Linked DNA regions of Rhinolophus ferrumequinum. The protein of the gene in region 2 interacts with the protein of the main gene of each other region in a biochemical or structural test. Links are inferred from orthologs where the notes say so. Each region holds a gene or a part of one and is shown on either strand. Other genes may lie near its edges.

Evidence for each region.
Region 1: the proteins of RALGDS (region 2) and RAP2A form a complex in vitro, tested with the Homo sapiens proteins (2 studies listed by BioGRID). The link is inferred for Rhinolophus ferrumequinum from reciprocal best matches to the Homo sapiens genes RALGDS and RAP2A.

The regions. Positions count from the first base shown.
Region 1 is NC_046287.1:43,435,237-43,446,492, reverse strand, and holds the start of RAP2A (ras-related protein Rap-2a), read right to left. Parts: upstream 4,266-11,256; 5' UTR 4,136-4,265; coding exon 3,822-4,135; intron 1-3,821. UniProt on the Homo sapiens protein: Small GTP-binding protein which cycles between a GDP-bound inactive and a GTP-bound active form. In its active form interacts with and regulates several effectors including MAP4K4, MINK1 and TNIK.
Region 2 is NC_046295.1:80,655,868-80,666,748, forward strand, and holds the start of RALGDS (ral guanine nucleotide dissociation stimulator), read right to left. Parts: upstream 4,814-10,881; 5' UTR 4,767-4,813; coding exon 4,584-4,766; intron 1-4,583. UniProt on the Homo sapiens protein: Functions as a guanine nucleotide exchange factor (GEF) activating either RalA or RalB GTPases and plays an important role in intracellular transport. Interacts and acts as an effector molecule for R-Ras, H-Ras, K-Ras, and Rap.

The DNA.
Region 1 (11,256 bases), on a different chromosome or scaffold from region 2:
AATTTCTATTCCTGGCCATATCCATTCATCTCCATCCCTCTATACTCTACCGAAAAGATTCCATCAACTCTCTAAATCTGAACTATGTAGATTATTTATACATAAACTGATGTTTCAGGCTTTATTCAAATATTCTAATTACTTATTAGGTGTATCGATCTGGATGGTTACCATCTCCAAAGCTAAAACAATCTCCCCCAGCTATTCTTCCATAACTCTATTCACTCATGTTCAAAATGTCAAGGTTACTTTTGACCTTTCCCTCCCACTCGATTTGATTAACTCATTCTTTATAACATTATTTGCATCCATGCTTTCCTTTCTGTCCCTACAGACACCATGCTAATTCAGAATCTTTATACAGAACTAGACTATCATAATATTTCACAACTATTCCTCCGGACTCTGGTCTACTGCCACTAAACCGAATCACCACATTACTATTTCTAACAATTTTGATCATGGTCCTTGACTAAGATCAAGTCCAAACTCTTTAACCTTCTATAATTTAACTTTACATTTTTTAGCCTTACCTCCTTTCACCCTTCATATAAATTCCTGGTTTAGCCAATCTGGTCTATTTAACAGCTAACAAACATATCTTATGCATTTCCATGCCATTTCTTCCATCTGGAAGACAATGTGCTCCTAACTTTTTAAGGTTCATACTAAACTTTACTTCTTCCCACTGCCCCAACTAGATAGAAGAACTCTCAAAGAATGTTGGAGCTGAAGGAAGATCATTTACTCCACCTGCAAAATGTCGTTTAAAGAATCATCTCTTCCATCTAGAAAATTAAAATGGTTGGGGAAACTGAAGCCAAAGGACAATAAAAATACTTTTCTTTCTGAACACTCGTTCTTTTTAACGTATTTTCCTTGATTGTTTCCTATATACCAGGAACTATTCTAGTCACATGGGATTAGAGTTTAATGAGAAAGACGAACCGCATGTAAATTATCACACAAATAATAAGGCTTTCACGAGTGCTATCTGAAGAGGGAAGCGGGGTGTCACTTAAGTCTGAAGTACAGGTGGCTGAGAAAAGGGGTGTGGCGGGAAGTTAATTAGTGTGGGAAGCTGGGGAGGAGCTAATTCAGTTGGGGAGGAGGCTCCTCGGAGCAGTAAGCCTTTCAAGCAAGGGCAAAAGAGTGAGTAGGAATTAACTCTAAAGAAGGGTAGATGATTTCCACCGGTAGAAGGGAAGCTCAGAGAGAGGCACTTTCAAGAGACTGAGAGATTTGGGTGCTGGAATCTAAGACATTGAAGAGGATTGCAAGAGGTGAGGTTACCAAGGCAGGGAGGTTGGACAAGAGCACCTTCTCCTGGGAAGGTCAAGTTGAAGATTGCTGGGCTTTTATCCTGAGAACTACAGAACTTGACTAGCACATTGCAAGGTACTTCAAGTCAGAACCATGGCTTGCCCTGAGAGGAATGAGAGAAGAGATTATGAAATCAGGAAGAATACTAGTTTTATTTCACTTGAAACATTTTCTGTATCCCTATTACTCTTACCTGTGTGATATTGTTCAAAGTCCAGTTAAAAAAATTGAGCATATGAATTTATAAATACAGTCATTTTCAGTTACAACTTACAACCATCTTCCTGCCCACATAGCTTTGACAAGAGGTTGTGTATGTCTGTGTACCTGTAAATACTTAAGGGAGTATGGGCCTGTTTTATATTTTTTAAAAGCAAAACATTCTATACAATAACAATCCAATGAAAAGCTCCGTTTCACTGTTTGGCCATACATTAGTGCTAGACTTGAAGTTAAATATTCATTTTCCTGCCCTTTCCCATAAGATCCTTATTAAGGGAAAATACTTTAAGAACACCAACAAAATTTTTCCAATGATTGTTTTAATCCTAATTGCTATTTAATCTCATCTTGTCTACACTAGATAATGAATTTCAAAATGCAATCACAAATTTATTTCCTCTAATATTACATTTATATTAAGAATCATTTTAAAGAGGGTAGGGTAACAAAGTTATTATTAATAAAACAACAGCTGGAATTTTGGAGCAATTTCTTTGTTCAAGGTATTATGTCGGGCACCTTAGAATACATGATCTCACTTAATCCTAAAAAAGACTCTAAGAGGTGCATGTTATACTCTATTTCACAGATAAGGAAACTGAGGCTTAAAGACACAAGCATTTCCTCAAAATATATACACTTTAGACATCTGCTGTCCAATATGGTGGCCTGCAGCCACATGTGGCTACTGAGCACTTAAAATATGGCTAGTCTGAATTGGGATGTGCTGTAACTGTAAATTACACACCAGATTTTGAAAATTTAGTATGAAAAAGTAAAATACGTCAATAATTTTTAAATGTTGATTATATATTTTTAGATACAGTAGGTTTAAATAAAAGGCATTATTAAATGAAGCTGGAGAAGTAAAAGCTACCAGATTCACAGATCTTAGAAAAGCTACAGAGGCCATGAAAATACCCACTTTATTCTAGTTTGAAACTTAATGGAAAAAATAATATACAAAATTTTAGTTTAGCTATTACAGTGCATATTCAATGAGTTAAGGAGGAGCCATGGGGAAAGGACCTCCCTTGGATCTCGTATGTTCATTAAAAATCCACTTCAGGTAATGCGTTTTTGAGTACCCCCTGAGTACACGTGACTTGGTCCTTGTTCTTAATGAGTAGTCTCAAACCTACATGTAACATGATTGTGTCTAAAATACACTTACAACTATATTTCTGTAAATGTCTTCCAATTTAGGGCCATAGGTAGGATTATGTTGGAGAAAGAAAATGACACTAATCAAAATTATTAGCAATTATTAACTAATTATAAGAACCAGACAAAACTGTAATGTGTAATTAAATAGTCATTAGAAAAATTTGCTAAAACTTTGATGTAAGATAATATGTTACACTTGTAACGCTTGAAATATGGAAAAATACTCAACATAAGAGAAAACAAACATTTTTAAGCCATTTAAGCTACCAGCCATATTTCCAAAACGTATACTTTAGAAGAGAGTTTATATTAGAAAAGAGCTTATCATGCATTAACTTTACATCTGATAATATACTTAAGTTATAGCTTTGAAGAAACTTGTTTTGTTTGCAAGAATGCCTATTTTTTCTTTCCAAAGAAAAAGTTAAACCGCATTCTTTAATGTGAATGGCATATTTGTACCCCTATATGCTAATATTCTCTCAGCCCCACTAAGTTGTTATGATGTCTTCAAATAATTCGATAATCTGTCTTTAAAGTTTCATCTTAATTGCAGAGTTCATTTTTCTAAAACGCCTTGGCACCATTCAATCTTTCATGAGATGAGAAAAGTCTCTTTCCTCTCGATTTGACATTTTTACAGTAGGTACATGTGTGAGCGATTTTTGCTGTCAAATATTGTAAAGACAAATTTCTGTTGTTGTTGTTGAGTCTGAAAATGTCTCCACTATACAGGCACAGCCACCCTCTCCCTAACCCAAGCCTACCCACTCCTCACCCTGCCTCCAAGTTTTAAACTTTGTTTCCTTCGAGGCTCTGCCACAAGCGCTACTAATAATATCCAAGAGACAAAAGCGCTGTGCTGTGGTCCACGGGATGCCAAATTTGAGTTGTGACACAAAGCACTAAAATTTGAGATTCAAGATGATGATGATGGTGATGCTGGCAAAAAGAAAAATTATTATAAAGCATAAGACCCCAAAGCCAAGTCCCTAGATAGCTCCCCCTGTCCACGGCCACCCCAGAGCACGGGGAGGGAGATCTGGCCCCGGGACGGTGGCTGCCGGCTAAACCGCGAACCCCGCTGCCCGCGCCCCCGGCCCTCTCACCGCTTCACTCGGATGATCTGGTCCCGCATGGGCTTGATGTCCTGGAAGCTCTGCTGGTTGACGAGGCTGTAGACGAGGATGAAGCCCTGGCCGTTCTTGATGTACAGGTCCCGCATGGACGCGAACTGCTCGGTACCCGCAGTGTCCAGGATCTCCAGCACCGACGGCGACGAGTCCACCTCGATTTCCTTGCGGTAGAAGTCCTCGATGGTGGGGTCGTATTTCTCGATGAAGGTGCCGGTCACGAACTGCACGGTCAGGGCGGATTTGCCGACCCCGCCCGAGCCCAGCACCACCACTTTGTACTCGCGCATCGTCCCTCCGCGGCCGCCGCCGCCACCGCCGCCCGCGACATAGACCTACGCCCGCCGCGCAGAGCTCTCGGACCCTGCCCCGGCGGCCGGCACCGCTGCCTTCCGCGGCCGCCCCCACCTCACAGCCGTCGCGGCCCCCCGGGCGCCGGCGGAGGGAGCAGCGGCCCAAGACATGGACCGATCCCGGCGGCAATGCGGCCCCGCGGGTGCCGGCAGGAACTAAGGACGAGCAGCGAATGGAAGCCGCCGGAGCCGCCCGAGCCGCCCGAGCCGCGGGCCCGCAGTGCTGCCCGCCAGCCCCGCCCCTCACGCCTCCACGCCCAGCTTCCCTCCTGCGGCCGCCGCCGCCGCCGCTTTCTCCGGCGCCGTAGCGCGCACCCCAGCCGGCGTTTGAGCCGCAGCGCTGTCGGGGGCGGGGCCCGGCGACCCGGGGCGGGGCCCCGGGGCGCAGCCCCGCCCCTGTTCCCCAGTCGCCTAGGCGACCAGTCTCGCGCGCTCCCGGGAGGCTCTGCGCAGCGCGGAAGCCTCTGCCCCGGCTTGGATAAACAACCACCTTGGCCACCCAACGCCACCCCACCCCGCACTCTCCGTCGAACCCCAGTCACTGCATCTGAGCATGCGCAGTTTTTCCGCCTGAGACGGGAACCGCATCAACCTGAGAATCCCACGCTCAGAATTTGGCAGAGACAAGATGTTAAAAGGAGCAGAACGATCTGCAGCAATCTCTGGAGTGAGGAGTCAGAAAAAGAGACGGCCAAGGTCCAAGAAGAGGCCTTGACATGAGGGTCTTGCCCGACACCACCCAGGCTGTCAACATTCCTGAGAGCTTTGGTTTTATCTTGTATACACAGAACGAGAAGCTTTGCTTAAGGGTCCGAGCATAAACACAACCAAATGAAGCTTAGTTTTCAGTATCAGGACACTGAGTGAGAGGTGACAGGCCTCTGCAGCCCACTGCTCGAGGCGGTGAAGGCCAGAGACTGTGGAAGCCGGACCCAACCCGGTGACGTCGCCAGGAGTCCCGCCCACCTTCCCTCCACCCCCGCCCGTCTTTAGTGCCAGACTGTAGTGGAGCTCTTCCCACGCCCTGTCTGCTATGGGTACTTGGAAAACCGGGAGCGCGGAGTCCCGAACCGCAGCAGAGGGCCGGGGGAGAGGTCATAGCAACAGCCCGCTGGGGGACCTAGTAGGGAGCTGGGATTCATTCCAGCCAACCAGACCATGTCTCTGGACCCGATGGTACCATTCTCGACCAAAGAGAGCCCCTTCATAACCACGTGACACCCATCCACCAGCCAATGGGGAAAAACTCTAGTCGCAGGATAAGCCAACACACCTCCCACTGCCTGGGCCAGCTGGGCGTTTGCTCCTGCGCACACTCTGCCAACCAATCGTAGGTGAGCTGAAGAATGACGAAGGCTTGAACTGAGCCAACCAGAATTCGCGATGTCCTTGCCACCAAGGGCAGGTAGTATGGAAGCAGGAGCCGAGCTGGTGGGGTTTGGGAGGGGTCAGAGATTGAGGGGCCGGTCGCTGAGCCTTATTCAGGCAAGGGAACAAGATGTGTTTCAGACAAAAGTGATGAATTCCGGTTTTAACTTTTGTCCCCGTGGCATTCTGCCTAGATGATGGGCATACAAATAGTGCTGAGGGATACATGGGATGAATCGAGAAAACAGAGACTTTTGTCTTTAGGTGAGACATTTCCCGGTTCCTAAATACTGCAGCAGTTGCACGGGTCCTCCGTGCGTGCCTCTTTAAACATTTTTAACAGCTGAGTTTTAAAACTTTATCGTTCTGTTAACTCTTTAGCATTATCTTAGTTACACAGTCTCTCCCACCCATAACGTCAAATTTAGGAGGGGTTATATCCCCAAACGTTTCTGGATATTTTGTAATAACTGGTTATTGGATTTATGTTCCTTAAACTATGTCGTTCTTGAACTATTCTACATCCATTCATTACCATCTCACATTTCTTGGGAATAATAAATTTCTGTAGTTCTAATGTTTGATGATGGCATACCTCTTTACCCTTTCTCTGCTCCAGAAGATCATCATGTAGAGAGGATTTTGGTCTGAGATCCTTGAAAAACCAGGTGTTCTTTTACCATCTTTTCTGTCAATTATCAGACTACTACAAAGACGTACTCAGATTTAGCAGTGTCCTACAGCTTTGTTGCTCCATTATGTTAGAACGGATTACTTACATTTTCATTACCTTGCTATAGTATAACACATACCAAGTTTGTTTTTAAACAATGGAGGGCAAGTGTCCTGTCAAAATATGCAGTAAAATATTATTCAATCATTATTTCTTGGTTACATATCATCAAAAAAGGAGAGGTATCTAAGCTACCAGAATTAGCAGTGAAGGCAATTTGCAAAAGAACTAACAATCAGAGGAATGTTTTAAGACAATTGAAACCAAAGAGGATCTGATATCTCATTCTAAACTAGTAATGTAAATAAATGAATTAAAATGAAGAGAACTCACATAGATATGATAAGTGAAATATCGATAAGTGAAACTTCATATCTGAGCTTTTTTGGCAGGGATGTTTCAAGAGAATGTTGTAGATGAACAGAGTGTTCACCTAGCTTTTTAGAAGCCTCACATTTTGTATAAAACTTGTACCCTTATTTGTGGTTACTTTCTCTTAGTAACAGCTACGCTTCTTTCAGAGGAAAGACAGACTGTCTCTTTTAAGATCCAAATTGTGTGTTGTGGTGGTAAGAACTTCCTAGCTTGTTGGGGGGATCAGTAGAGCCAAGAAGCATCAGACTTTCTCTTTGTATAGACCATTACCACCTGTGTAGTACCTTGCATTAAGTGGAGCTGAAAAATCATACACTTTGCAGGGAATAAAGGTCCATTGAATTTTTTTTTAAAATAGAACTTTGCACTGGGATTGTGGGTCCAGAATGTAACCTCAAGCAACTGTTTTCATTTTGTAAGACTCTAGAAGTTGAGAAGCTCTGGATGGAGTGTATTTGATAGAAGTTATCGCGCGCGCGCGCGCGCACACACACACACACACACACACACACAATAGTGATTTGGCTCCCTGGTCACTCTACTTAGCAAATAGAGAATGAGAGGGCTTTTTGGCATTTCTGAGGCTATTTTCCTAGATCTTTCATCAATGCTGACTTTCTTGGTGAGAACTGTAGAGACTAGGTCTTGGGGTAATTACACCTCATTTATATGTCTCTTATTGACAGGCCTCGATTTTCATTCTCAATGCTGCCATAAAAGAAGATTTTTAATCATGAAGAGGGAAAAGAAACATGCGTAGGAGCATATTTCTCACATGTTGTGGATGGTGGTACTTGATTTGAGGCTGTATGTGAAATGCTGTTTGAAGGATTAGCTGCTGTAAGAAAGGATATCAGGATGTGTAGAGAATTTTGAAGATTTGGGTGGAAGCTGGGTCTCCTGATCTCTTACTCATTCCCAGCATGAACTATCTATTCTGACAGTGATTTTAGGGATAAAAAACTATGTCTCCATTCGTTTGTTTATGAGAAAGACAAAATAAAAATGAGATAAAGTGAAATAGAATTTTTCCTAAGAGCTGTAAATCTGTATGATAGTGAAAACTTGGCCCTGTACACTGACACTTCAGGGTCTCTTTAGCTTCAGAAGTGCATTGCTGGGAGATAAAAAAGAAAGAAAGAAAAACTTGATTTCTCTTCTCCCCAGTGAATCTGAGAGTTATCTCACTTATGCCCAGATACCCTCAACTGTCACACTTGTGTTACCATGGAAACCCAGCTCCTTTCTTTGCTTCTGTGAAAGATGTTGGTAAAGGTGGAATGAAATATACCATGTTCTGGGATGTTCTGATGACAGCAAGAAGCAAGTATGCAAAGAATTTAATATAAACAAATTAGTAAAGGATGTTTGTAATATGACCAGTGATGCTTGGCTATAAGATTGTGATTCCTATTGCTTCCTATTAAAGCCTATATATCTCTGATTAACTGTAAAGAGGAAGGACAATCAAGTACATTTAGCACCTATGAAATGATGTTGGCAATTATAAAGAGAGCAGGAGACATTTTCTTGGCCTCTGAGGTTCCTAATACAGTCCAGAAACCCAAGTATACATGAAGAGTGGAAAGCAAGGGCCAAAATAAATGTGCTTCCATTTTGAAAATATGATACATCCCAGCACTTTTGCAAAGAAAAAGAATTAGAAAACAGAAATTAAGTGAGTATGTAAACAAGTGAATGAAAGAACCCTTTAGCTGAGAAATGTTTCAGTGGGCGATTTTAAGCAGAAAAAAATTTCTGAAGGAAAAGGTTTAATGATTAAAATATTAAGAGAGAAAAGGCCAGGAGACTCTTACGGACTCAAAGGTTCTGAGGAAACTGGAGCTTTAGTGTGGTTCATTTAACATAGCAGAAGAGCAGACACAATGTTGCTTGCATATCCAGCAATTTAATTTCCCTTTCTTTTTGCCAAAAAAGAAAAAAAAGAAAACTCTGATGAATCAAGATAGATCGTTAATGGCAGTGCTTCACCTCTGTCCATGGTTAGTCCAAAAGTAGGTATATGACTCAATTCTTGCCATTGGAAGGGGAAGAAGGCAGCTGGGGATCGGGGATTTCTGGGATTCTGACAAGAGTGAGTAGCTGTCTCCGTTTTTTGACGTTACCTGCCTTGCTTTCTGCTTTGTACTTTGAAATAATGAGAATGTGGCTACCATCTTTGGGCTGTAAAGCCTTATGGCTGAGGTTGAAAACAAACAAGCTTTGGATGGTTAAGGAGAAGGATGGGAAGCACCTAGATCTTGGCTGACAATATTGAACTGTCAAATCAATACTAGAAATGCCCACCTTTGGACTATGGCTAAGTAAATAGCTAGTGTCTTTTGATTTAAGCCCATTAGTTTAAGTCCATTAGGTTTTTTTGCATTTTGCAGTTAGACACCTCCCACTGTTACAAAAAGTGTGAGAGATTTAAGACAAAATGGTGTTTAAAAAATCAGCAAGCATTTGTGAGCGCTTTCATTCTACTAATATCCTGAGTGGTATTTCAAAGACATAATATTTATTGAACACTTACTATGTATGTTATTGTAGGCTCTGAGGATACAACAAAATAGGGCTTGCCAAAAGTGCTTGCATTCTAACAGGAGATATAGATAATATAAATATAAGAGGCAGACATTAGGCAATTGATTACACATTTATATTATGTAATAACAGGTATAATTACTGCTAATAAGGAAAAATCAGAGCTTACAAGGGTGTATGATAAAAATATAAATAAAATATTACAAAATATATAACTAAATAACAATAAAATTACAAAAACTTACCAAGTACGTTATAATATCATGTATAGTTTATACATGAATTCCTAGAGGTCAAGAGATACAGGGAGTAAATGGGAGTGGCTTTAGTGAAGGAAAACTGTCTGAAGGAAATTAATGTGAAGCCATGTTTTGAAAGAAGTGGCCAAAGAATAGACTTAATGGGGCAGATGGGAGCACTCCAGATATAAAGAACCAAATGAGCAAAGGAAGAAGGTAGGAATGAAGTAAGAGTGAAATAAGGGAAATGCAAAATCACTTCATTCTTTAATTCCTTGTAGCAATGACATTCTATGGAAAAAAGAACAATGAGGGAAATAATCAGAAACTGAAAGTCTCAAAGAAAGATTATAAAAGGTATAACAATCTTGGGAAAATAATAGAGAAGAAAAAGTAGAGTTCAAGGGTACATTTGAAATTAAGGCATTATTCAAAATAATGAATAATTTGTAATCTGGGCATCATGTGAGAATTGTCATAGAATTAATTACGGGCTTGAGGACCTCAAGAAGGAGGGATTCAAACTTTCATAAACAGAAGTTGGAAGAAAAATGAAGAGAAGCAAAAAAGGAGACAGGCAGGAACAAATTTTTTGCTTATGGTTGCTATTTTTGACATATGTTATGTAAGAATGAATAGAATTTGATTGAAAAGAAAAATTTCAATAGACCAGTAATATGTAAAGGTAATCTTTTTGGTAAATATGTAATTTAAAATGTTTTCCCTAGAATACCTTTTTAAACCTTGCCATAGAAAAATATTTTCAGTAAAAAAGCTATAAGGAATAATAAGTTACAGATTAGTGACACATTTTGGAAATAAAACAGATGTGCCAAATATAATAGTATAGCAATGATAATAAATACTTGTAATAAAAATCAGAAATTTGTCAGACATTTTGTGGTTTCTGGCCAAATGTGGTTGTAGTAGTTTTTCTAATGCTATTTTCTGTACAAATATAAGAATAGTTTTGAAAAATTAAGCTACAGTAGGCATATAAACATATCTTGATATTATGAATAATAATGCAAGTAATATTTACAGTGCTTTACCCTTCCCAAAGCCCTTTTCCACATAGCCAAGAAGCTTTTTGTTTTTTAATAAAATTTTGAAAAATATTTGGGAGCAACTATATAAATATGTGATATGAAGATGCTGATATAGCATTATTACTGCTCCTTCCTCCAAGATCACTGAAATATTATAGAGGGTGAAATACCCTCAAGTGAAGAAAACTATGAGAAAACCTTAGTAGTGAGGGTTTGTTTGTTTGCTTGTTTTGAATTGTTTAATAAAGGAACAGGGAGAATAGGGTAGTGGTGGTTTAGGCCTCAGGCAATAAGCAGCCAGTCATGCTGTGGGGGAATAAAATAGGAAAAGAACTCTTGAAAATCTGCTTGTGCTTCTCACTCTCCATTGCCTTGGGGAAATCAATGCCGGCCCCCACACGTGTGGTGACTCTGAGCTCTGCTCCACGTGGACTCGAGGAAAACCAGCCCTGTGCTTGTCGGGAGCCAAGAAACTCCTTAGGACCTGAGCATCTTAAGGCCGTTGCACATCCATGCCTTCTGCTCTGACTTCCCTGAGCTGGTGAATTACAACCTAAAGCTTGGTCCTCCTCAGGTTCTCTCTGGGGAAGTAGAAGTAAATTCTTAATCTTTAAGGAGTGATTGGCTGTAATTTGGGGGAGTTTGGGAATCTCCATTCCAGAGCTCATTTACTCTCACCCCCTGAGCCACTTGGCATGACTCAGAATGGGGTGTAGTAAGGTGATCAATCATCCTTGTTTATCTGGT
Region 2 (10,881 bases):
CAGGCCTGCGAGGGAGTGTGGCTGCTGAGAGCTGAGGAGGAGGACGGCCTGGTCCCTGGGGGGGTGCAGGGTGGGGCCAGCTGAAGGTCCAGCCCCAAGAGCAACACCACAGACCACAGTGTCCAGCACGTGTGGGCACTTCCTGGATGCCAGGCCCTTGGCACACTCATCACAGTTAATCCTCCCAACATCTCACTTGATGGATGAGGAAAGAGCCGGGTGGGGATCTCGCCCAGGTCGAGCCAGGAAGTGGCAGCTGGGGCAGGGACTAGAACCCTGGCCTGTGACTCTCATGACCTATGGAGACACTCTGGGCCTCGCAGCACAGTGCCTGCCACGGTCACAGCCTCAGAACAGAGTCCAGCCCCTGGTCACACAGATGCAGGAAAGAGACCAGAGATGGGAAGGCCTTCTTCAGGTCGCACCGCCAGTCGGGGGTGGCAGGCCCAGCTCCCTTGTACCTGCACCGCTCTACTGAGAGGGGATGGCCAGGGCACCCATGGGCCCCGAGATCAGCTATAAGAACCAGACCTGGGAAGCGGCACGCTGACTGGGAGCCCAGGACACGGGCACTCCCCTGGCACCTTGTCAGAAAACACAATTGTGGCAGCCACCGCCTGTCCGGCTAACGCTGTGCAAGGCATTATAGGGACTGCTTCTCCGGCCACCTGTCTCACTCCGTCCTCACCAGAACCCTAAGTGGAGGAACTAGCATCAGGCCCATTTTACGGAAGAGGAAAACGAGGCTCAGGAAGCAGGGGCAGGTCTAGGATTGCAAGGGCCGAGCTGGCAGTCCAGCACAGCTGTCGGCACCCCAGAGCCCAAGCTCTGACCAGCATACTTGACTCTGCCCCTCGGTTCAAAAGAACAACATTACGCCTCTAGGCGAGACTACAGAGCAGGTTGTGTAAGCATCTGACACTTAACCGGGGAGGAGAGAAAAACAGCAAAGCAACACCACACCCAGTGCTCCCCAAACTCAGGCCCTCACGCTGGGTGCTCCCACCCAGCTCACCCTGCGGGCGACCTGGCAGCTATCTGCTCACTCCCCAGCCACGGGCCGGCCTTCTGCTCTGGGCTGCAGGTGTCAACTCCCAGAGCCTCAGAATCAGATTGGGGAGTCGCTTCACTGGAGCTGTGTGTCCAGGAACACGGTGTTTCCTGGCTGGCAAGGCCTTGGAGGCCTGAGCCTGGGACAGAGTAGCCACAGCATGGTGCCACGCCATGGGAGCCGTCTGGGCGGCCAGCCAGCAGCCCCTGGGAGCCAGACCTCAACGGCCTGGGTGCAGCCTCCTGAAACCGCCCCCAGTGGCTTGCTCAGAGGCGGCCGACACCAATCCCCCTCCCTCACCGGCACTGAAGGCAGGGCTTGGAAACACCTAACTTCCAGGTTGGAGATGGGACCCGCATCCTGCCCAAAGCAATCTCGCATCTCCCCGCCACCCACTCCTGCTCCAGCGCCTTCACTGAGCCTACAGGAAATAGACAGCGTGCTCAAGCGTCTGCCACTCAGTACCAGCCAGCTGGGTGCCCACCCCTTCTCCTGGGCCCCTGAGGAGCAAGACAGGAGGGGAGCCCGCGGCCCTCTCTCTCTCTCTCTCAATCTCTCTCTCTTTCTTTCTCAAATACACACACACACACACACACACACACACACACACACACACACACACACACACCCTTAGGCCATGCCTCTCAGTCCTCCAGGGTCAAAAGCCCTGGGGGTTAAACTGAAGACCTGCACATAGTAAGATCAAGAGACCAGACAACCGGGAAGGAGGCGGGAGGCTGGAGGGAGACTCCCCTGCGATTCTCCACCCAAAGAACAGAGAAGCCCTCCTCATTCCGATCCACCTCTTCGTTCAGGCCTTGCAGGCACACTGTCTGGGTCAGGATTCCACCTCTGCCACTTACCAGCTTAGTGAGGTGATACAATCTAATTAACTCTCGTGCCTCAGTTGCTTTATCTGTCAAATGGGCTATTGATAGTCCTGACCACAAAAGGACATAATGCATGCAAATTACTTAGAACAAGGCCTCCCACAAAGTGCTGGCTCATGTGAGCTATTATTGTAAACCGCTGGGGTCCAGCTGTGGACTTGCTTCTTCCTGGAAGCTCTCCCCAGTGTCCTCTAGCCCAAGGCACTTTGTCTTCCTCTGGTCTATAAGCATCCCAACCCCTCACTTGACCGGGGGCTTCTGGGCTGCCTGGGCCTGGTTCTGTGCCCCCCAGAGCTCCACAGTCCTCTGGTGAACCTAAAATTACCCCAATAGTGATCTTTCTCTGATTCCTGTGGGCTCTTGCACACAGCAGGCGCCTAACAGAGAACACAGCCCATGTTCAAATCCTCCCAATCCTGTGTCCTTGGCTGTGCATACATTTAGATCAGAGACTTCACTTCTCGGAGCTCCAGTCTCCTATAAAGGGGGTTGGCACCCACTCTGGAGGGTTGGTCAAAGCCAGTTGGAATGAGGTGGTGGTGTCCGCAAATTATTTGGTGGTGTCCAAAATTAGGTGCTACAGACTTGGGAACTGCCTGGTCAAGGCAGTGGCCAGTCTAGAGATGGGGGCATGGGCCAGGTGACCGCCAGAAAGCACAGAACTGCACAGGCCAAGCTGGGTTAGTGGTGGCTTGGCTTAGAATCAAGATGACAGGAGTGGATGCCCAGATGTGCAAGGACATCTGGCAGCCCAGAGAGGATTGGAAGGAAAATGGGGAACAGGGGAGAGAAGGCAGTAACTGCCTGGTGGTTTCCAGAGAGGACAGGGACCACAAGCAGAGCTGCTTCAGCTCTGGCACGCTACAGCGACCAGGAAATCAGCCCCAGGATTGAGGGTGGGGGGGGTGGGGGAGGTGTTGGCAGGAGGGACAGGGACTTCCCCGCCCCCCTGCCCTCCTCCCCCGGCCCATAGTAAATGGTCATTGTGTTTGATTTCCGGCACTGGCCTCCTCTTCTGCCAGGACCCTGATTTTCCTGCCCCAGCCAGAAGCTTCCCCTTTGATTTCTAAACAGTGGCCATGGCCTGGATCTAGTGCAGAGGCCGGGTGAGGGAGAGCAGCAGGAGGGTGCGGGGGGAGGGGAAGGAGAGAGAAGGCGACCCCTGGGCAAGGGTAGGGCTCTCCCTCAGGTCCCCAGGGATGGACAGATGGACAGAGAGGTGGGGGGGAGGGAGAGAAGTGAGCCAAACAGCTCACCCCACCCTGGCCAGGAACCTGCCCGGCCCCTGTGAGCGTGTAGGCCGGACCCTCCCAACACACAAAGCCCGACTGGCTGCCAGACATAATGAAAGTCAGATGAGTACTAGGCTGGTGTCAGGCCTCCCAGGGGTCTGCTCCAGCTGCCAATGAAAGCCAGAGCAGTGGGTGGATGAGGGTCCGGGAACACGCGGGGCTTGGCCACCCGCCCAGCTCAGGAGAAAAGGGTCTCCCAGTCCTGCAGTTCCCTCACCAAGAGCGCCCTCCAACCCCTTGCCTTGGCCCCACGCTGGGCAGGGAGACACACTTTATCCTTGGGCAAATATGCATCCAGGCCCTAGGGACATGCAGAGGCACAAAACCAGGCTGAAAATTGCTGGCAAGTACAACACATGGGGGCCTAAAGTGAAGGGCTGGGGGGGGACACCAAAGGGGCCCTAACCAGCACGGGGGCTCAGGAACTTCACTGTTAAGGCTCTGGCTCGGCCTTGACCTGCTGAGCCCCCAACCCGGGGCTGGCCTGTCCAGGCCCCATGCCCAGGCAGGGCAGGGTGACAGGGTCCATCCTGCATCTGCTACCTCTGAAGTCAGGTGCACAGTCAGGCAGGAGGAGGAAGGCACCACTCCCGGCCCCACCTGCCTGCCCCCATGACCCACTGGGCTTCACTGTGCAGAGCACACTAGAAAGAGTCCCAGCCCTCATCTAGTTACCCCCACCTCCATTAGTGACAGACACATCCCCCCTTCTCTGAATCCTCCCAAATCCTTACAAATTCATTTTCTAATCAAGCAGAAATGAGTCAGTCACCCCATCCAGACATGAGAGGGCCTTGTCCCAACCTTCCAGCCTGGACACCTGGCCCCACAGGTTGGAGGCCTGCTCCGCCTCCAACCCACCTCCTCTGAACAGCCCTGAACATCCAGTCCGAGTCTGACCCCAAAGTGGAGCCGTCTGGAAGGCCACTGTGGTCCCCAGCCCTCTGAGGATTCTAGGACTCTGCCACCCTACCAGTTCGCCACCTGATTGCGAAGCCTAACTGCCCGTGCAGGCTGGGACTGGCAATGGAGATGAAATATGGCCCAGCCCCTAATGTCGGGAAGTTCACAGCCCTAAACAGACAGTGACAGCCCGCGGAAACAGGTCTACCTGGGCTGCAGGGGCACGAGGCCAGCACACCTGGGATCGGTGAGGGTAGGCATTGGGACGGATAAATAGGGTCACAAAGACCCGGTTCTGGTCCCTACATTGTTGCACCCGCTGTGCCGGCGGCCCCCACGCCCACCTGCTGCCGTAAGGTTACAGCGAGGGGGATTTCTGCGGAAGGACCCTCCCCCCAAACGATCAGGACGCTGGGCCGCGGGGTCAGGCCGACCTGGCTCACTCACCTCCAGGCGGGGCAAGTCGGGGTCGAGCTGCGTGAAGCTGTGCAGCACCACCGGGCAGCTGGCGGGGCCGCCCACCTCCAGGCGCACGGCGTCCCACACGCTGCGGCTCCGCCGGGAGCCCGGAAACAGCGGCTCGGCGCCGCCCGCAGGCCCGGCCGCCTCGGCCCACATACGCTGCACCATGGACGGCTCGCAGCGGCGCCGGCGGCCGGCCGGGCCGCGGGACCCGAGGCGGCGCGGGCAGCAGAGGCCCGCGCGGCTCGGCGCTGCCTGCGCTCTGCGCCCGCCGCCCGGCCCCGCTGAGGTCAGGCCGGGGGCGGGGCCGGCGCCTCGGAGGCGGGGCCGGCGGCGTGAAGGGGTGGGGCCGGAGATGCCGGGGGCGTGTTGTGGGAGCGTGGGCGCCCCCGCGAGCCTGCTGGCTGTGTCCTATAGAGCGTGTGTGGTGTGTGTGGTGTGTGGTGTGTGGTGTGTGTGTGTGTGTGGGGGGGGGGGGGGGGACTATGGGTACCGCGGTTATGCACCTTGTGTGGGTGCGTGCGCTGGGGCAGCGTATGTGTTGTGTATGTGACTTGTGTACGTGTGGTCAGGTGGCCCTGGAGTCAGATCAACCTCCCACGAATTCCAGGTAAGCCCCTCCCTAGCACTGTGGCGTTGTACAAGTTGCTTAACCTCTCTGAGCCTCAGTTTCTTCATCCGAGAGGGCCACATTGGGTTACTGATGTGTAGCACTCGGCTGGTGCCTGTGCCTTGCTACACTCTCCTGAGTCCTGGAACAGTGACTTCGGTGCACGTGTGCATTTGGAAGGCCTGAGTGTTGGGGTGTGTGTGGTGTGGGGACGGGCCTTTGCCTGTACTATCTCCTTTCTGCCCTACAGCCAGGGAGGTGAGGGCAAAACCGAGACCAGTCATATAGGGGTTGGGGCCTATAGACATTCAAGAGTAAGGGATCAAGAAGGCAAATGCCAGCTGGAGCACCTGCCACTGTCCTGGTTGGGGGGACCGCTGGCTTGAGCACTCAAGGTCTCAGGGCACCGGTGAGGGTGCCAGTGAGGCTGCTGAGGGCTGGGGAGGAAGCGCTCACAGAGGCTGGTGATTACTGTCAGCAGCCCTAGCAATGCCACCGCCAGCCCCAGAACTGGTGCCATATCATTGGGCCTGTTCCCCACCTGTAAGATGAGAGGGCAGGACCACACTACACATTCCATAAACATATCTTACGGAACGGACCCACCATGTGCCAAACCTCCGATATCCAGGGACATGGAGCCCTGGCAAGCTCTGGCCCACGTGGGCAGCTGGAGGGCCCGGGGTAGGGGAGGGGGACCGGCGGGCGGTGGAAAACAATTTCTACCGTTTTCTTTTAAGGACATTAAAAATGCTTATGCCCTTTAACTTGAGAATCCCACTCTTAGGAATTCACCCTCAGGTGACAATCAGAGGTGTGGACATGGATTTCTATATGAGGATGTTTGTGGAAACCTCAATGACAACTGTTCCCAACCGAATCCACTCAAATGCCTTGTCCTGACAGGCCCCTCGGTGCCACTGCACACCTTGGACCAACCGTGATGCCGGAAGTGTTTCTGCTGTACTGCGACGTGAGACAGCAAGATGCAGAATACGCTTTCAGAACTAGACATTACACACGTGCGCATGACGGGGACCCACTCTGCAAAAGTCATCGTGGTTCTTTCTGGGTGCTGCCATACAGTGTTTTTCACTTCTCTGAATTTTCTATTATTTCAAAAATAGTTATAATCACACACATAAATGCTGGGGGTGGGGGTTGGTTGCTTTTTTAAAGTAAGATGGGTAGGTTGGGTTTGGGGATCCCTAGGAGGCCGTTTAAGGACCTTCTGTGACCTTCCCCCGGGGAGAGTAAGGTAGGTGAGGCACATTTAAAAGGACTCCCCAAAGATCAACCAAGGGGTGACCTGGACACAGGACACTGCCCTCTGGCTAAAAGCTTCTCCCAATCCTCCTGGGAGAATTTGCCAAGTAAATCCAGTACCTGCGGGTAGCTCACTTTATCTCTTTTCTGCCTTCTTTATCTCTTTCTCCCAGGGAGGGGCCTGGAAAGCAAGCTCAGGCCCATTTTACAGCCAGGAAAAGGGCCCCTGGAGGCCAAGCAAGTCGAGAGTGCACAGGGAGCACTCCCAACGTCACCACCTCTCTGGCCTTGAAGGTCCAGGGTACCAGGGTTGGGGGGCTCAGGTCAGCTGGAGAGTGAGCAGTGGGCAGTTCCACACCCCAACACAACCAGCGGGGCTGCCTCCCATCTGGAGGCCACCTGGAGGTCATGGAGGGCATGGCGGTGTCTCCTTTACTTAATCACTAACCTCAGGTTAATGCCTGTTTTTATAAAATCTCTCTCCCTGCTTTGTTCACTCTGGCTTTGGGGCTCCCCTCTGGGGTCCTGGTAAGCCTGCTCACTGCTTATCTGGGTTCACATGTGCACACACACACACACACACACACACACACACACACCCCTAGTTCCCAGGGTAGCAGTGTGGCATAGAGGACAGGTTCAGGCACTGAAAGGCCTGGGTTTGAAACCCAGCTCCACCCCTTTCTTACTGGGTGACCCCTATTCCCCCAGCAGGTCACCTCGCCTCCAAGGCACAGTATACACCTATGTAAAGGGGGCATAACTACAGAGACAGCACAGGTAAAGCACCTCACACAGATGCCCACCGCCCCCAGGCAGGCAGACTGCCCCACACTGTTAGTAACGGGGGCTGCGATTCACGGGGTGCCTTCTGCGTGCAAGGCCCTCCCAAGCCCTCACACACCTCCCCTCATCACCCCACCCCCCAAAGCTGTGGGGTAGATCCCTTACCAAGGGCAGGCAGGGCTAGTCCAAAAGAGAGGGGACCAGGACAGTGTGTGCCTGCCACCTGATGGAAGAACACAGAGCCACACATGCAGTGATTTTGCCCCAGACCAAACATGAATCCAACCAGGCCTCCACATTTGGGGGAATTACGGGGAACAGAGGAACACATCAATACACCATGAGGATATAGTCCACAAATTCCAGACCGTGGGACTCTCCAGGACAAACTGAAGAAACCCAGGGTCGTCAGGAGCAAAAAATAAAGCGGAAACTATAGATTAAAAGAGACATCAATCAAATACAACCTGTGGATTTTGTACTGTGATTTGAGCAGGGCAACTGTTAAAAAAAAAAACCTCAGGGAAAACTGGGATTATTTCAACCCTGCTGGATATTGGACAATACTTGACATCATTTTTGGGGTGCGATCATGGGGATTTAGGTTACTCTTAGAGTAACGTACTGGAATATTTATGGATGGAATGAAGGGATTTGTGTGAACATCGCCCGCTGAGCAGGAAGAGTAGGACACGGGGCAGTTAGAGAAGAAATAAGGTGGCCCCACAATGTGAACAGCAAGCTGGGCCAGGGCGGGGGGCTCCTGCCATTTTCTCCACTTGTGTGCCTCTTTGGAATTTTCCATAATAGAAGTTAAAAAAGAAAAAGGACACAGTTGGAGACTCACGCTCGGAAGCCTCTGAGGCTCCCAGCAGCCAAGGAGGGAGGGCAACAGCCTGTGAGCCCAGACCATGGCACTGACACCCGGCCCGCTTCACCGTTTCCCGTGTTCCTTGCCCCATGCGTGGGCGCTCACGGCATCCTTACAACCAAGGGGGCAGGGGGCTTCACTGTGGGGGCTGAGGCAGTGGGCAGCTGGGAAACCGAGTCACGCAGCTCAGATGGTGCTGGAGACAGCCCCAGTGACCTTGGGCGGGTCTGAAGATCAAGGCTGTGACAACGTTTGCCCTTGGAGGGTCTGCTGGGAGGAACAGAGGGCACAAAGCACCACAGGATGTGTGGGGTCATTATTAACTGGTGTCACTCCTTTCCTCCTCATCCTGCTCACAGTACACCCTGCCCCCAACTGTCCCAGGTTCCCAACGTTTCCCTGTGGAGTGCACCAGCCCTTCCTTGGGGAGTTACAAGAAGCCCCGAGAACACGGCGGTGCTGTAAAGACCCACCGGCCGTCGGGATACTCGTAACACAGGATGCTTAAACGACCGGCTGTGAACTGACATCCAGGGACGAGACCCAGGCCAAATCCAGCCCACACGTGTTTTGTTTGGCAAGCACAGTGTTTTTCAATTTTTGAGTCAACAGTAGAAGGTCAGGTGATTTCATATAAAATCCACATTTCTGGCTGCTCTTGTCACTTTGGACTACCTGGCCACACAAGGTCTGCATTCCCACGCGCAGCAGGAGGCTGGGCAGGAGCTGACTGGCAGCTGTCCCCTCCAGCCAGGGCCTGTCTGGGTCTGCCACAGTTCCCACTGGGCCTTCCACCACTTCCTGGCTTAGTGTGCTCAGGCCAAACCTCTGGGGCCCCTTTTCCTTCCCACTTTCATCCCACCAGGGGTCCCCCCGACACAAGACAGCCAGAGAGGTCTTGACCCTTCAAAGTCCTCCCTGTCACCCCCACCCCCTGCACTGTCCTCAGGCAGAAGAGCAAATGCGTGGTGAAGGCCCAGCTCACATCTCTGCCCAGCCGGGCTCACACTGACCTGTAGCGGCGCCCCCGGGCCTCCACCCACTGCCCCCTCTGCCTGGCCCATGCTTCCCACCTCCCACCCACCCCTTGGCCTGGTACATCACAGGTGAGTCCCAGGGAATGGGGTTTGGGCCCACGGTGCAGCTCTGGGGACGTCTACCAGGCACACAAGTGGCTCGGACAGAGAACTGGGCTCCGGGCAATGTCTGGGTGACCACAGGCCTTGGTCATCACCTCCCACCTGGGCTTGGCCAAAGCCCACGGAGGGAGCTGGCGGCCCAGTGAGGACCAGCAGCCAGATACCTAGACTCGGGTCAGGCCTTGGGGGAAACCTTTCACCTCTTTCTGAGCAGGTGAGGTCACCCCGTCTGTCTGCCTTTTGTCGTCTATATTTAGAAGCCCAGGGAGGACAGGCAGAGGGTGTGGCCTGGCCAGGCTCCGCGGTCATTTCCCCACACCAACGTCACCATTCCTGGCCTGCCTGAGTCCTGGGCAACCCTCTGTGGGCGGGTGCGCACACACCTTGGCAGGAGGTGACGCACCTGGGCCCAGTGTGGGAGCTCCTGGGACAGCAGGTGGACCTGGCTTAGCCCCACCTCCTCTGCTGCCGGGTTTCTGGGAACCGCCAGGGGCCTCCTCTTCCTCCAAGGAAGGAGAGGATCCCCACAGGCAGGACGCAGAGCCCAGAAGTGGTCAGGAGGCGGGAAACAAAGCCTCCAAACCTCTGGAGACCATCCTGGGTGGAGGGTGTGACATCGACATCACCCCAAGTCCCTGACCTCACTGGGCGTGACTGTCCCAGGACAACCAGAACAAGATACATCAACGCCCGGAGCCATGCAAACGGCCCAGAACTGGGACGCCATGAGCTCACTGGGGGGCCTGGTGTCCTCCCCGGAAAGAGGCGCTCACGGCCGCTGACTCTACCCTCAGATGTTGATGGAGACACTCTCGAAGCAAACACACAGTCCAGGGTCACTGTGATAAACACCGTCCATGGAGTGGGGACGGGCCGCTTTGACAACCGTCCCCCACTCCTCCAAGTGCTCAGTACCCCACATGCCAGCGGGCACTGAAACCTGACATTTCTGAAGGCCACCAATCCAACATGCGACAGCCCGAAGTGGAGGGCAGGAGAGGGGAGAGGAAGAGAAGCAGAAGGGGCACAAACAGATGGAAATGGAGACTGAGACTGCCACTGAGCCTGAAACACAGAGAATAACAGGCGCGGGGTGAAAAGGAAACAGTCAGAAATGGAGGCGGAGGGTCCCGTCCCTCACAGAGCCCACACGGGCGAGCACTGGCGCACATGGCTGAGGAAGGGACCCAAGGCAGGGCAGGTCCCGGGTCTCAGCCCCAAGCGGGGACCCTGAGCAGGAGGCAATGACATGGTGGAAGACACCATCCCCTGCCTGAAAAGTGCCCGTTGCACCCAAGGGGCCCCAGGGTGCCCCCTGACCTCCCCTCCCTTGCTGGGGGTTCAGCCGCTGCCAGCTGGAAACCATCACAGCATCGTGGGGCCTGGGATGACCCAGTCCCGAGGGTGCCATTCTTTCCTGTCGGTTTGGGAATCTCTCTCTTAAGATCTGGAGCCTAGGCTTGTGCTCCAACCCCTGCTGTGCACCTTCCAGCCTCAGTGTCACCTCCTTGAGCCTCAGTATCTCCATCGGTAAGATGGAGACACTAATAATGCCACTAATGCCACCTACCACCTGGCTCTCAGGGTTCTCAGGATTGTAGATGATAAAAC